2 linked regions of the Lonchura striata genome follow. The protein of the gene in region 1 interacts with the protein of each later gene in a biochemical or structural test. Links are inferred from orthologs where the notes say so. Each region holds a gene or a part of one and is shown in the gene's direction. Other genes may lie near its edges.

Region 1 (7,663 bases):
CTTTGATTTTCAGTGCTATGGACATGACACAGCTACTGTCACAATCTAAATAAACACCATCACTAAAAAACCAGTGCTGTCACTGCAGAACAACTTGTACTTGTCATAATAATTATAACTATGAATGAGATAAAAATATTAAGTGGACATAAACAGGAACTGCAGCTAAGTGTCAGCTGTTGGATGACAACCTTATGTATCAGTGAAGGCATGTGTGGGTGACACAATACTAGAGCAGTGATATACAAGAAATCAGCTAGCCCCAACCTTAACTGCAAGCAGCTTTATTTATTAATCTTTCTCTTGTGCAATTACTGAGTTGCAAAACAAAAACAAAAAAAAAATCATAACACTATAAAGGTGATTGAAATAATAGACTGAATGTAAGTGCTGCATAATACACACTTGGTGTACAAAAGGTAAATGAGCAAGTTATTACCAAGAGATGCAAATGCTAATTCACTTAGAATGAATTGCTGAGATCCATAGATCCATATTTGGCACTTAAACACAGTCCTCTGCAAGTTATTCTGTTACTCCCTATCTTGAGTAGAAAATATATTAATATTTGACTCTGTGATAGGCGGACATCACTATGGTATCTTTGCTGTAGTACCAGAGACTAAATACCAGGGAAATGCCAAAATCTGTCACTGGAAGAAGTCACCACGTGTGACTCACCATCAGTGATAAAGCCTTCGGGCTTCTTACTCACCCTGGTCTCAGGTCTCCGGTGAGCACAGTCAGCAAGAGGAACAACGTTCTTAAATCTTACACTGGCAGGAATTGATTGGGCTGCAGGAAAAGCTTTTCAAACAGCCCTTTGGAATTTCAGTGGGAAAGGTGTGAGCTGGCTAGCCAAGCTTCACCGTCGATATTAGAGGCGAAGTTTCCCCAGCCGGGTGGTCAAATCAGTGGGTGAAAGAACAGCCTGACACGGAGGCAGCTGCCAGCACCGCCGCTCAGTGGCAGACTACCCCGCCCACTGTTGTTCAGATGTTTTGTCCAGGCTTTCAGGTGCTGATTTATCCTTTCTGTTCACTGTGTCTCTGAAGAGGGAGGATCCCCCTTCCATACAGCTTTTTGCACGCTAGCTCAGTCCTCCCTCATTACAACACTCGTGCAGGGGATTATCCTGGACATGGACTTCTAGACTTTTTCACTGGAGCGGAGGATTCTGGAGGTGCAAGAGCAGGATCTTGGAGGACACCTAAATAAGCTTCACACACCCATGGTATTTCAGAGAGGGAAAACCCAAATTCCCCAGGATCATACCATATTTTGCCTTTTGAACTTGATCAAAGCTAAGACTGTACATACAAATGTAACAAAGGTAAATTGGAATTCTCAGTGTTGCTACTGGAACCCTTTTATATTTATTGAAATCTGATATGTTAATACCACGCATGAAAAATATTTTTTGGAATTAGATACATTTAGTTTCAAATGACAGACAAATTTAACAAGAGACATAAAAACTATTACTTTAGACATTTATTGTAATTTCACCAAATATTTGAAGTACCTGTGAATTGAATTCATCTGATGACCACAGAATACTTTAAATTCCATTTGTTTCTAGCAAAGACTTTAAAGGGCAATCTAACATACTTTTTGGAAAAATAATTACTATTAATATCCATTAAGGTAACGTATACTTTTATTGTTATTCAAAAACTAACAAAAGAAAAAGCAATTTGGTTTTAGACCATGCAATTACTAAGAGTAAAATTACCCTTGCAATAATTTTAGACAATGTCAGGTCTGCTTCTGTAAACATATTAATAGCTGAGTATGTGTTGAGTCATATGTATAATTATCCCCAGAATGGCTGCCTTCCAGGCGTGTCGGCTGAGTCCATGTATAACTCTTCACGTTAGGGGCATGGTATGGGCAGCACTACACTTATATCCAGGCTGGTGGCATAAATCATAATTGAATTAGGTAAGGTCGAGGTGTTTTCATACCATTTGAAAATAAAAGCAGAAAATCAGAAATTTTTCATGGTTTGTTTTTCTTAGTTCTCCTTTCCAAAATGCCTCACCAAGTAAATGCCCCTTGAACTGTACATTTGGCTTTAATAAAAGTGGATTCTAACACAAACTGGGTATTCACTGACTGATGCTTTATGCTTTTGCAGGTGTACTGAAGAAGAGAAACCTTGGCCCAACAATCATTACGTTCTAAAAGGATTATAGGATTGATTTCTCAGATCAGGCAATAGAAATTTAAAATCTGGTTTTTAATGAAGACCTGGGTTTTGTCATTACTGGTGAAAGACAAACTTTTATGTCTTGCACTTACGGCATTCTTATCATCAGCTTTATCTTTATAACCTACCTCTTAAAGAACTGTGTAATTTAAGTTGATAGGGGCATCTGAAAGCTCTCTTTATTGCCTGTAGTTCTTTCTGTAGTTTCAGTTTCATGGCTACAAAGAATATGATCTCTAACTACACTTCTGTTTTTACTGCCCTGTTTTATCAGACAAACTGCAATTTTACACCTTGTTAAGGAAGCAAGGTGAGAAGAAAACCACATTATACTGTTGACAAGGAAGATAAGACTATTATTTACCCTGACATTTCTGAGCAATAATATTCTTCATGTAACAGGATAAGAGATAAAGCATATCCTGCAGTGATAATGCACAAACTGAAAGGAACTGGCTTCCACATGCTATCAACACCAGTAACGAAACTGAGCCCTAGTGCAATAATCCTATATTTGAGCCGGTTCAGAATGGACTATTTGAGAAGAAAGCAAGCCTTTAATTCGGTCAACTAAAGTAAACACTTTTTATCTGTGCACTGCAGTGAATCATAGCCAATTTATTTAAGTGGCTGAATGAAACAGTTTTTTTCCTGCATTTTTTTGTTTGTTTAATTTCCCTTGCTCTGACCTGCAGGTAAAGGCCATCTGAATGGGGAACAGTACAGTGCACACTAACCGTGGCTGATCTGTGAAACTGTGTATCTGCAGACACTGCAAGATGCCTTAGAAGTTTAACCTACTGCAAAATACTCTTTCACATGAGGGTGTTCTTCACCGTGAAGAACAACAGAGACAAGAAGGAATTAGCCACCATCACTTCTTCCTTGGATCAATATGGCACAAACAAAGCTGCAAATGAAATTTTAGTCCATGTGAGGAAATTGAATATACCTTTAATAGACTGAGATGTTCAGATTCTGTGATGATGACTTAAGATAAATGCTGGTTTGAAATATACAACAAAATGCATAAAAATATCACAAATTAAACTGTCTCCCAAAAAAGTAATTACATTCAAGTTTATATCAATAATTAAATTTAATTTTATAGTAGTTTGTATAATGTGGCCACTCGCCTTATCAGAATGTTCTTTTAAAAATATTTAGTCAGTGAGGCTCCCACAAATTCTCTTGGAGATTATTCCGTTTGTCAGGCTATTTTCCTCTTCTTCCTCTTCTCCCCATCTCGAATTCACCATAGAATGTTCTTTTTTTTTTTTTTTAAAGCAGCTTTTAATTGAAAATTCCTCATAGTTCTTCCCCCAGCCTCTCTTTATCAGACAGCCAGAGGGCAAGGTGTATTAATAGCAGCTGCATGACTCAGAGTTGGTAGCTCAAGTGGATCCCTTTGCACTGAGCTTTGCTGTTTGGCCTCCCTGCTTGGGTTGCCACAGTGCTCAGGGAGCACCTTCACTTCCTTGCATACAAAAATAAACTGTGAAAGCATAGTGGGGGCTGGGATTGCCTCAACCTCTCTGTCCTTCAGAAGGATTCTCCTTACTGCTATTTTATTCTACATTCCCATTGCGGCTGTATATATAAAAAAAATTTAAAAAAATTCATGATCCCATGCACCAGCGTGACTGTCTCACACGACTGAGTGATGAAAAAAGAGAGAACGCCCATCACTGCGATGATATGGAGGAGAGAAGAGGGTCAGTGCTCTCCACTCAAACTGCATTCCGTGCTCTTTCCCTGAAGGCATCGCTGTTCTCATGAGCCGACACAGCTCGACCCTTCCAGCCCTGGCTCCCGCCCGCCGCACCCTGGGGCCGGTGGCATCGCCAGCTCCCAGCCACCCTATCTGCCAGGACACCCGGCCTCGCGCCGCGCCCCGCAGCACACGCCTGCCAAAAAGGCGGCAGTGCGCCTGCCGGGGCTTTGGGCGGAAAATAAACCAAACCACGCCGCCAACTCCCCCTCCCGGGCTCGAGCCTTTTTCGGGGTTTTCCTCTCCCGCCCGGCGCGCTAACGGGAGAGCTGCTTCTCCTGCTCCGCTCCTCACTCAGGCGAGCAGGGGCTCCCGGGGGCAGCTCTGCCGCTGGAGCAGCTGCCCCGGGCTCACACCACACGGGCAGGGCTGCGCTCGCCTGGGGCCCCCAAGGAACGCGCGGAACTCCGCGCGGAGGGCCGGCCGTCTCAGAAGGCGATAGCTCGCCGCCGTCCCCTCACGGAGGCTCCGTCCCCCTCCGCGCCAGGAGCCGCGCTGCAGGAGCCGCGCTCCCCGAGTCGTCCCCTCACGGGAGCCGCTCGTGGCCGCCGCCCCCGCGCCCCTCCGGGCAGCGGCTTCGCGCCGCGCGCCGCGCATGCGCGCCCTCCCGCTCCGCGCGTGCGCAGTGCGTGCGCAGGAGCCACATCTGATAGGGGGGAAAATCCGAACGGCGGCGGCGGCCGCCATATTGCGGAGCTGTCACAGCGCCCGCCGCGCTCGGCGCCGCATCCCCGGCGAGCAGCGCGGGGCGGCCCCGCAGCGCCTCCTGCCCCGCTGCGAGGGGGCGGCGGGGGGACACACCGCCCCGCCAGGAGCGGAGAGCGCCGCGCCCCGAGCATCCTGCCCCGCCGGCTCGTTGCCCCCCTCCGCTCGGCGCCGCGGAGGGAGCGGAGTCCCAGGTGAGGCGGGGGCGCTGAGGCGAGGGGTGCGCGGGCGGCCGCCGGCGGGGCTCTGCGGGCAGCGCGGGGGCAGCAACCCGAGGCGTGAGCCCGCCCGCAGCCCCCGGTGGGCGGGGGGCAGCAGCGACTTGTTGCGGCGGCGGGAGCGCGGCTCCGCGCCGCTCGTGTGCGGGACACCGCCCCCGCCCGGGACCGGGACCCGGCTCGCCGAGCCCGGCTCGCCCCGCTCTGTCGGGCGCCCCGGGAGCGCGCCCGGCGTGCCCGCGCAGCCTGCGCTGCATTATTCATGTCCCCGAGCGGCGCGGCTCGGGAGGCACACCGTAGTAGACATGTGGCAGTCGGGTCGGGCCAGCTGAGTGCGGCGGTGTGGGAGAATAATAAGGAATTACTTCATAAACAAGTGCTGTGGAGCATCTGTTGCTGTCTATTGTTTTCGACAAATGCGCGTTTTTAAGAGTCCTTAAGTACTGACCGACGTAATGGGCGCAGCGGCCCTGAATGAGCCTTTGTGCATTGTTTTTTTGAATGGATTAATGTTTTGTACGAGTCGTGGGCATTTGTAATTAACCTTGTCGCTTAAAGTTTAGCGCGGATAAGAGGTTTTAGTTTTTACTTTGTGGTATTGTGGTATACTTATCTTTTGTCAGTTTCTTAATCTGAACGCGGAAAAAAAAAAAAAAAAAACCTCTTTGGACTCCATGCCAACACAACTAATCACTTTGGTTGTAAGGTGCTGTTAAGCTGTCTTTTCCAGTCTGTGTAACACCCTAGACAAGTATTTCGTGTTCCTCTTTCTAGTACAGACTTTTAAAAAGATTCCATTTTTCAAACTGAGTTACGGGAGTGGCATTTTCTGAGTTTTAAGTAGTTCTGTCCCTGCGGCTGGTTTGTGTCAGAATCGCTGTATGTCGCTCCGGTTTGTTTCCACTGGAGATGCCTGTCGCCGTGTCTGCGCCACGAGAGCGTTTTTGGGGGTGCGTGTGCCTGCGCAGCACCTCGCACACGGAGAAGGTTGTGGAGATGCGGTTCTTGCTGTCGGCTCTCAGCGCGTTGGCACAGCGCTGCTGGGCAACCTGTGCTCCCAGGGAAGATGTGGAGTTGTACAGTAACATTATGGCTGCTGTGATGAAGTTGTTTTTTATTCGTTAAAAATGGCACAAGTAGTAACTGTTTGTTGGATTATAGGACTTAACCTCTATTGATCTATTGATTTAGCATAAGAGGGACTGTGAGAAAAATAAACTGTGAGTCAGTGCAATGTTCCCAGATAAGCAGCCTCCCAGCAAATGGCAATTGCAAGGCAGTGGCGTATTTCCAAGCTCTGTACAGAAGTGACACAGTTGTTCTAGTAGGTTGTAGAACAAAAGCGAAACATCTTTAGAAAATGCATGAAAAAAGGACATGGTGTGACATGTCTGGAGCTGTCCAGAGAGTTTTTGTTGAGTGCTGACTCAGTGAAAAGAGGTGAAAGTGTGTGTAGAGATGACGAAGAGTTCTGATCTGTTTCTGCCATATCAGGGCTATGGTAATAGTACTGCCAGAAAAAGGTTGTTTCACAGAAAATTGGGTAAATCCATAAAGAAAGTGAAGATTTAGATCCACCTACGTGCTGCAAAACCAGGAGGGTAAGACATGTAGATGTTATGACGTGCAAAGGCAGTTCCTGGCAGAGTTCCTTTGGCCTTTGTCAGGATAGGTGAACAGCCTTTCTTCTTCAGCAGTCTTGCTCTGCTTTTTGAGAAGGGCTGCCTCTGTTGCCGGAGGTGAAGAGGAAAGTTGTTTTAGGCACTACGTCTTTCTGTTGGATGTGTTAAATACATCAAAGCCATCCTATCGCTTTATATTGCATTAGATGTCTGTGGGAGTAGGGGAAAGAGAGGATTTTCAAGTTTGTAAATGTAAACAAAGATTTATACAAACTTCTGGAGAAAGAACTGGTTGTGGAAAGATACTGATCCATTAAAGCAGCACCCAGTGTATCCTGCATGCTCAGCAAGTTTATTCCAGAGCTGAAGGAGCCTAGGTAAACTCTTTCCTTTCAATACTGAATAACTGCATTTGTTGGCTAACTGCACCAATAGGCTAATACTGTTCTTTGGATATAAAATAGCTGTACTTTGGATATAAAAAATCTGTACTTTGGATATAAAAAACATTTTTTTCCTTTCTGCTTTAGATATTTATTAATCACTCTCTGAAGTGAAACCTGCAAGTCATGTAGTGCAAAGAAAAAGAAATATGACGTTGGCCCAAAAAGGCAGTTAATCTTTACACTAGAACATTGCAGTTTAAGAACTCTAGCTAGTTTATATGAAGAATGATGAGTGGCCAGTTCATACATTTCCTTTATTTCATGGAGCTAGTTGTAAGAGACTTAATAGCATCATTCAGAAAATATCATACTTGACTTTGAGATGAGATATACCCAAAATTCTGGGTGTGTGTCCTATTTCTTTGCTAACTATATGTTTAGAGAAAGGATTATTGCACTAGGAAGCAACAGTACTTCTATCAGTTTATATTAATGGTTTCCATTTTTGATGGGGTAGCCAGTGTAAATGGTAAGATTGGCCATTCTATTGTTGTTGGACTCTTTAGAATCTTTGAATTATTTCCTGTATTGGATTTATGGGTACTTGAAGTTAAGGTTACTAAACTCAATAAATATTAAGTGTATGTAAATCATGTAGCACGTCTGAAACATACCAGTTTAAAAACTGGCAAAACTGCAAGTAGTGCACAAATATTCTTCAACTGCTGTCAAGTTGCTTTTAATTGAAT
Region 2 (7,789 bases), on another chromosome or scaffold:
TTACCTGCGGCACGAACACACCGTCAGCCCCGCCCCGTGCGCAGTGCCCGGTGTCGGTGCCGCTCCCGCACTCACAGTCGGGGCAGCAGCCGTTGAAGGCCATCCGGCAGATGCCGCAGTTCTCGTCGTTCGCCACCCACAGCCAGGACGCGACTCCGTGCCAGCTCCGCACGCGCACCCGCATCTCCCGGCCGGTCCCGCCGCGGCCCCGCCGGAAGCGCTCCCGCCCCGCGGCGCTTCGCGCGCCCGCCGCGCCTCAGCCCCGCCTCTTCCGCTTCCGGCGCGGGCGCAGCGCGGCCGGAAGTGCGGGAGGGAGCGGTGCCGCCATCATGGCCGACAAGATGGACATGTCCCTGGACGACATCATTAAGCTCAACCGGAGCCAGCGTGGGGCCAACCGGGGCGGCCGGGGCGGCCGGGGCCGCGGCGGCACCGCACGCGGGGGCGGGCCCGGCCGGGGCGGCGTTGGCGGCGGGCGCGCGGGCGGCGGCCCCGTGCGGAACCGGCCGGTGATGGCCCGGGGCGGCGGCAGGAACCGGCCCGCGCCCTACAGCCGGGTACGGATCGGGCAGGCGGAGCTTAGGCCGCGGCGGTGCGGCGGGCTGGGGTGGAGGGTCCGCGCGGGGCGGGGGCGCGGACGCGGGCGGCCCTTTGTCCACTCCCGGCGCGGCTGCGGCGCCTTGGCGCCGGTCAGCGAGGTCCCGGTCTCATTGCAGCCGAAGCAGCTCCCCGAGAAGTGGCAGCACGACCTGTTCGACAGCGGCTTCGGGGCGGGGGCCGGCGTGGAGACCGGCGGAAAACTGCTCGTCTCCAACCTGGACTTCGGCGTTTCGGATGCGGACATCCAGGTGCGGCTCGGGGAGGCGCCGCGGCGAGCGGGGCCTCATTCGCTGGCCCAGGTCGGGTACCCGCGGGAACCCCGCCGGCCCTGCTCCGGCTTGTGCTCGGGGCCGAGGATTCCCGGGTGAATCCCTGCTGATGGGGTTGGTACTAGGTATGCCTACTTTGCGGCGATCGTGGTGGTCTCCAGGGGGCTGGAAAATTCGGTTTATAGGTGTTTTGTAAGTGACTTCCCGGTGTACAGGGAGCGATGCTGTGACTGTGCTGGATCACGCTGTGGTTGGAGGATGCACTGTGAACTCTGAGCTCCTGCTCTGCACAGCTGTAGCTGTCTGTAATGGTGCTGTGGGGCCTGCTGCTTTGTCAGACCACACTCTGGTGGGTGTCAGGGGTTCCCAAGGATGCACCTATCAGTGTAACCAGGTAGTTATTTGTCATAGGAACAGCTCTCCTGTGCTGGTGCTTTGGTGTCCTGTCCCCCACCTGTCGTGTCCATGCCCCGTTTGGGCTGGTCAGAGCCCACAGTGCCTGCAATCGGGTGCTTGGGGCATCTGCCTCAGGGCTGGAGGCTGAGGGGTGTCACAGGGTCATGAGTGGGCTGTGAGCTGTGCAGGAATTGAGGGCCATGTATCCCTGGTGGAGGCTCCTGCACCACAGAGTGTTGCCATCACCCTGGCCTCTGGCTCTTGTGCCCTCACCAGGGAAAACCAAAACAGTGGTGTTAGACTTTCCTCATCAGTTCATTCATTCAGCCTCTCCACACACCCATCTGGCTGCGTGTGGAGAACTGGAAAGCAGCTCTGTCAAGTCACCTGCTCACTGGGTAGTGTGCTGCACTCCACCTCTTTTCCTCGTATAAGTTCAGACTGAGTTTAAATAAGTTTTTGTTTGTTGCAGTGAGGTGGCAGTGTGTAAAACTCAGCCCCTGTGCCTTGTGTGCAGCCAGGACTCACCTTCCTGCTGCTGCACAAGCCCCCACTGGGGGCTGAATCAACGGCTTTGGCCCCATGTCCCATAATTTAGCATTGCCTCAGATGTGGGATTGGTTTTGTTCCTGTGCTGATGCCTCTTTATGTGCCAAGAGAGGCCGAAGGTACTCTGATCACAAATGAGCTGTGCAGCATTGCTCTTTGTGTCCTCTGAGGCAGAAGCAGCAGATCCTGGGCTCTGGGCAGAGCTGAGACAGCCTTGCCTGCCACATTCTGTCCAGAAAGCATCTGCCAGGTGTCCTTTGTAGTTCTCCAGCAGCCCTGCTGAGAGCCCTGTTGTGACTTGGGAGCAGGTTGACACAGGCAGTGCAGTAACCTTGTTGGCTTCCCAGATATAGTGCCTGAGAAACAAAATTGGTGGCTCTGTTGCTGCCTCTTTATTTCCAACTTTTGTGGCAGCAAAGGACACACCTCAGCAGAGGACTTTGTTGGTCTCCATTTTTAGGATATGTTTCTAATGGGCATAAGTCTAGCACAGTAAAAGTGTCATAGTCTCGTGGATCCCTGCAATCACATGGTCATTCTCCTCTGTGAGAAAGGTGTCTGGGGTCTGCGGTATTTTCAGTTGTTGCCACTTTGACTCACCTTCAACAAGGACCCCCAGTTCCCCTGGGAAAAAAAAACAGGTCAGCATCCCTTGAATCTGCTTCACTGGCTGTAATGTGCCTCCTACAGGACGTGAGCGTGGAGTCCTGCCTGGTTTTGCCACTTGTGACAGCTCCCTGAAATCTTGCTGATGGGCTGTGCTCCCCTGTGCCACTGGGTGTTTTTCCAGGCTGTCTGAGGTGGTGGGACAAGCTCTGGTGCTGAGCGTGTCTGTGTGGGGCGCTGCAGTGCTTGCAGCATTGATGGATGGGCTGCTCCTTTCCCTGTCATTCTCAGGAGCTCTTTGCGGAGTTTGGGACCTTGAAGAAGGCAGCTGTGCACTATGACAGATCTGGCCGCAGCCTAGGAACGGCAGATGTGCATTTTGAGAGGAAGGCTGATGCGCTGAAGGCCATGAAGCAGTACAATGGGGTCCCCTTGGACGGTGAGGCTGCGTGGCCCAGCCCCACGACTTTTTCTGTGGCTGGAGCAGAGCACATCCGTGTCCCTCCCCTCGTGCCCGTTTCTCCCACGCCCTCGTCCCTCCCGCCCGTCCGTGCGGCTCCTGCCCCGCGCGTGCCCCGTGGGCTCACGGACGCTCTCCCTCCTCCAGGGCGCCCCATGAACATCCAGCTGGTGACGTCACAGATCGACACGCAGCGGAGACCAGCACAGAGGTGGGGGAGCCCCTGCCCAAGCAGTGCAGGGGAATGTGCAGGAACCCTCCCTGCTGGGGAACGTGGGTCCTGTTTGGCTTCGCTGAAGGCACTAAAACAGTTGTTTTAAAACTTACAGTGTAAACAGAGGTGGCATGACCAGAAACCGTGGGGTCTCGGGGGGATTTGGAGGTGGAGGCAACAGGCGAGGGACTCGTGGCGGGAACAGAGGGAGAGGCAGAGGAGCTGGAAGAACTTCCAAACAGCAGCTCTCTGCAGAAGAACTAGATGCACAGCTGGATGCTTACAATGCCAGGGTAAGTGCTGCTTGGGCATGGTAATGGGCTCCCTACAGCATCTCATCCTGGGAAGCACTGGCAGTCTGGAGCTGGCAGAAAAGGGAAAGCATTTTCCAGGTCCTTGGACTGAAGCAGTCTCTCTCTAAAGCTGAACTGTGCCTTGGCTTGGGTCTGAGCTTCCCTTTCCAGAGCACTTTGTCACCTGTTCCTGATGGCTGAGAAACAGGCTCTGTTCTTGCCAGGCTCCATAGCTGGAACAGCCACTATGAGCAGCAGCTGCAGAACAAAACTCGCACAGCTGATAGGTTGCAGGAATGGGAAGACGAAGGAAAATCTCATGTGAAAGAACTGTGTGGTGTGCTGCTGGGGAAAGGGTGTAATGTTTGTGGCAGAAATGAGCCCCAGCCTGGGGAGCCATGGGCAGGTTGCAGCTGTACCTGGAACTTGCTCAGCATATGCTGTAGCTGGGCCAGGATCCCAACAAAGCTGAGGCCACATGGACACTGTGGCAGCAGAGCTGGTGGTTCAAGACTCAGGATATGTCAGGGCAAGAGTGTGGAAGAAGTGGGATGAGCAGGATTCTAGAAAAAGCTTTGGAGCAGTGTTGGGGTGCAATTTGCTGTTGTGCTCATGGTGTGCTGTGGCTTGGACCCACCTGTCCCTGTCCCCCAGAGCTTGTGGGTTCACCAGAGCCAGGCTGCCTGCAAAGAAGTGAGTGGGCTTGGGTGCAGGGGGGTGCTACGAGGTACCAGGGCTGCGGTGACATTCCTCCCCTCTCTTGCAGATGGACACCAGCTAAAGCAGCAGCGGTGGGCGCAGGGAAGGACTCCAATCGTGCTCCACACTCCTGGCAGGGGCTGCGGCTGTGGCTACTACTACCAAGGATGGGATTTGTTTTACTTTTACGTTCTGGGATAGGTTTTAACTCCTGTAAAGGTTTTTTTTAATTCTCAGCAGACCTGTTTTGTACCGAGTTATTTTTGGGATAAATTTTTCTGGTTGCCTGTTGGGCCAAGGTGGCTTTTTCACCTTTGCCGTAATAAAATAGAACCATGTCTAGAGCTGTGGCTGGTGCCTTGCCGCGCTGGGCCCCGCGCCCCATCGCCCTCCCGCACGTACCGTGATGCTCCGCGCCACTCTGCCGTGTACTGGTCCCGGTCCCGGTCCCGTCCTGCCCCGCTGGTCTCGTTCCTGCTTCCGATCCCGCTCTGCCCCGCCCCGCCGGTCCTGCCCCGCTCCTCCTCGGTCCCGCCCATCCGGTCCGTCCCGCCCCGCCCGCGCGCGCCCTTCCGGGCCAATCAGCGCGCGGTCCGCGGCCGGAAGCGCGGCGGCGGCGCGGCGGCGAGTAACGGGAAGTGCCGGGCGTGTCCCGGAAGTGCGGGGGCGCGCGGGGCCTGGGCGGATCCGCGGCGTTGGCAGCGCAGCGGGGAGCGAGCGAGCCCGGTACGGCGGGAGCGGCGGGAGCGGGTGGGTGGGGGTACGGTTGGGCGGGAAGGGCCGGGCCGGCCGCGCCGCGCTGGCTGCGGGCCGCGGGCTGCGGGAAGGGCCGGGCGCGGCCGAGGGGCGGGCGCGGGGCCCCGGGTGCCCTTGCGCGACCTTCCGAAGGCCGGGGGAGCCACCGCCCCCGGCGGGGCCGTCCCGGAGCGGAGCGCGTGGGGCGAGGGCGGAGCGCGGGGCGCGGGCGGCCCGTGTTCCCCCGAGGGGCTGGGGCGGCTCCCGGCGGGCCGTGCCCGGTGCTCGGTCCGAGGTGCGGTGCGGGGATCGCCCGGCCCCACACGTGCCCAGGTCGGCTGTGCCTCTGGCGCGTACGGGCTGTTCATAAATGGCCGCCGGGCACGGAATGAGGAACTGTGAGACACTGTACAAGAGTCGGACTGCTCCGTGTCAAGTCAGGGCCCTTCCATCCCGACCGCCGCGGGCAGGGTGCGCTTCGAGCCCCGGCGCGGGGGTTGGCACCGGAGCCGCGGCTCCCCCGCCAGCATCACTCCACCGGGAGCAGCGGCGTTTTCCCGAGAGCTGGTCTGAGGGCCCTGACCGTCGTCCGTCGTTTGTTTGTGGTGACAAAAGCTCCCAACCACACTTGATCACTTGACGGTTTCCGGTCTGCTCTGTTGCTCCGCTTGTCCAAGCATTTTTCCAGTGTAGAGGATCTTGTTCCATGACTGCAGAGTGGGGACAGTTTAACTGCTGTGGGTTCGGCTGCTGACACACATGGATAGGTCACAGTCCTGGCTCCAGGTACCCACAGATCTGGTTTGCAGCCCTGGTGCAGTACTGCCAGCAGCCTTTATCCTTCTGGAGTTGTTTGTGAGCCCTCAGCCTGGCTCTGCACAGTTCAGCCATGTAGGTAAACAACAGGTCAGGGATATGTCAGAAAAAAAAAGAAAAAAAAATTCTCCATCCTCAGACTGCTGAGTCCTCTCTGGGCAGCAGCGTGTCCTCCTGTTCCCCAAGTCCTTCTTGCCTGGGTCTGTGAGACAGCCGAGGGGATCAAGCGGGATGAGAATTCCCTCGGATGCTCTTACAAAGCAATTGGTGCAGCAGTGTTACCTGATATGCCCTGATAGCGCCTGGCCTCAGGAAGTGCCAGCTAGGCTCCTGTCCTTCCTGTGGTACTGGTGTCCCCCACTCCCCTGTGCTGCCCTGGGACCATCTGAGCTCTCTGTGTGGAGCAGCCAGGCTGTTTGGGCTGTTCTGGCTTCCCATCCTGGCAGAGCAGCTTGGGACAGGGCCCTGTAGAAACACTTACTGCTGGGTCACATTCCAGCTGCGTTCTCCGGGTGGCTGCGCAGGCTTTCCCTGCGCGGGAAGAAGGAAGGGTGGGGACTGCTGGAACCGGCCCTGCTGCCTCCACAGCTGCGCCTGACGGAGCTGATTAGCTCATCTGATGATACTCTGACTAATGCTGGCCTCGCTGCTGCCCTGGGATCGGGATTCCAGGGTACGGAGTCAGTGATTCCCACTGTCTGCTTGGACACAGCAGGGATATCCCGCTAGTGTTTCTTCCTGGCAGGAGGTGGGGCTCCAGCGTTAGCTACTGCAGCTGCTCTGCCCTGCACAAAACATGCTGAAAATCCGGAAGAATTTGCTGGGTTGAGGGAGCAGTGAAGGTAGCGTGCAAATTCCCAGGTAGGGATTCAGCCTCCTGCTGCCTTCTACAGGCTTCTGTGATCCTGAATCCCTGCTTGGAGCTAGGGTATGTGTCTGAAAATCCAGGAGCCCTTCTGTACCCTGCTTCCAGCACAGGCTGGGGTCCCCTCCTGCAGCCATGGCAGTTCCTGGGGGCTGTGCTGTTTCACAGAGCAGTGGGATCCCCAGGACCTGTGGGTAAGCTGATAGGAAAGGTGAGGGCTGTTCCCCCAGAGCCAAGCCCAGCCTGGCCTGCAGTGATGACTGGAATCATGCTGGTTCTGGTCCCCAGCAGTGTTTTCGGTCCTGGTGGGCTCCTCAGAAATCCTAAGAAGGTTGGGGTGGGTCATGATTAATCTATGTGATGGGTATGCGTGATTCTTTAGCTCTGGATCACAGAAGTAAGGCTGGAACACAGGAATGTGACCAAAGAGCTGGGGATTTGGGTTTTTGGTTGGTTTGGGCTTTCTTCTGTGCCCTCTGTGTCATGATTGTTGCTAAATACCAGTTTGTGGGAGGGGCTCCTCGTGGGTCTGGTGGAGATGGGGCTAGTGGTGCATGGGACAAAACTGTCACCATTGTGTTACACCAGGGGGTCAGCTGTTCAGGAGTGGCAGCTCTATGCTGACACCAAAATAGTTCATTTCCAAACTGCCCAGGAGAGGATTCTAGATCTTGGAGGTGACCAGCTGCTGGCAGTCAGGGCTGTGAATGCCAAGGCTGCTCCCAGTCAGCGCAGCTGTCTCCCAGCCATGGGAGCTGTACTGGGACTGGTGCTGTTGTTCACAGAGCACTGGCTCAAACAGCTTCAGGTGCTGGAGCAGAGGCTGCCCCCATGGCTCCTGATGTCACTGATCTGGCTGTGAGAGATTTTGTCTCTGCTTGGTCTGAACATTGGAATGTGGAGGGTGCCCGTGGATACTCATGCACAGAAATGTACCTACCACTGTTGCAGATAGGTGTGTGGATGCTACTGGATCCTCTGCCATGTGTGTGGTTAGTGTGCTCTCACAGAAGGCTCAGTCACAGAATTTGGGAGTCACCACAAGTTTGGGACTTAGATTCTGTAAAGCTGAAATTCTGCAACTTTCATTCCTGAAAGCTGCAGATATTCTCAGAGCAAGATGTGAGAGTTAGAACAAATTGCGGGCCATGGGTGGTACCATCTAGCCCAGAGGTGAGCCAAAGGACAGGAGGAGGGGACCGGGCAGGATACAGGGAGGAGAGGGAACAGTGTAAGGTGTGTAAGTGAGCGTTTGCTCAGTACTTCTGGTAGTCCTCAAGCCTGGCA

The links. The genes of interacting proteins can lie anywhere in the genome.
Region 2: the proteins of RDX (region 1) and ARHGDIA form a complex in vitro, tested with the Homo sapiens proteins (2 studies listed by BioGRID and IntAct). The link is inferred for Lonchura striata from reciprocal best matches to the Homo sapiens genes RDX and ARHGDIA.

Annotation. Positions count from the first base shown.
Region 1 is NC_134604.1:72,542,946-72,550,608, forward strand, and holds the start of RDX (radixin), read left to right. Parts: upstream 1-4,649; 5' UTR 4,650-4,882; intron 4,883-7,663. UniProt on the Homo sapiens protein: Probably plays a crucial role in the binding of the barbed end of actin filaments to the plasma membrane.
Region 2 is NC_134621.1:11,932,183-11,939,971, reverse strand, and holds the start of ARHGDIA (rho GDP-dissociation inhibitor 1), read left to right. Parts: upstream 1-4,708; 5' UTR 4,709-4,812; intron 4,813-7,789. Other genes in the region: ANAPC11 (anaphase-promoting complex subunit 11), read right to left, coding at 1-4, 76-184; ALYREF (THO complex subunit 4), read left to right, coding at 330-557, 717-848, 2,712-2,859, 3,028-3,091, 3,210-3,387, 4,154-4,168. UniProt on the Homo sapiens protein: Controls Rho proteins homeostasis. Regulates the GDP/GTP exchange reaction of the Rho proteins by inhibiting the dissociation of GDP from them, and the subsequent binding of GTP to them.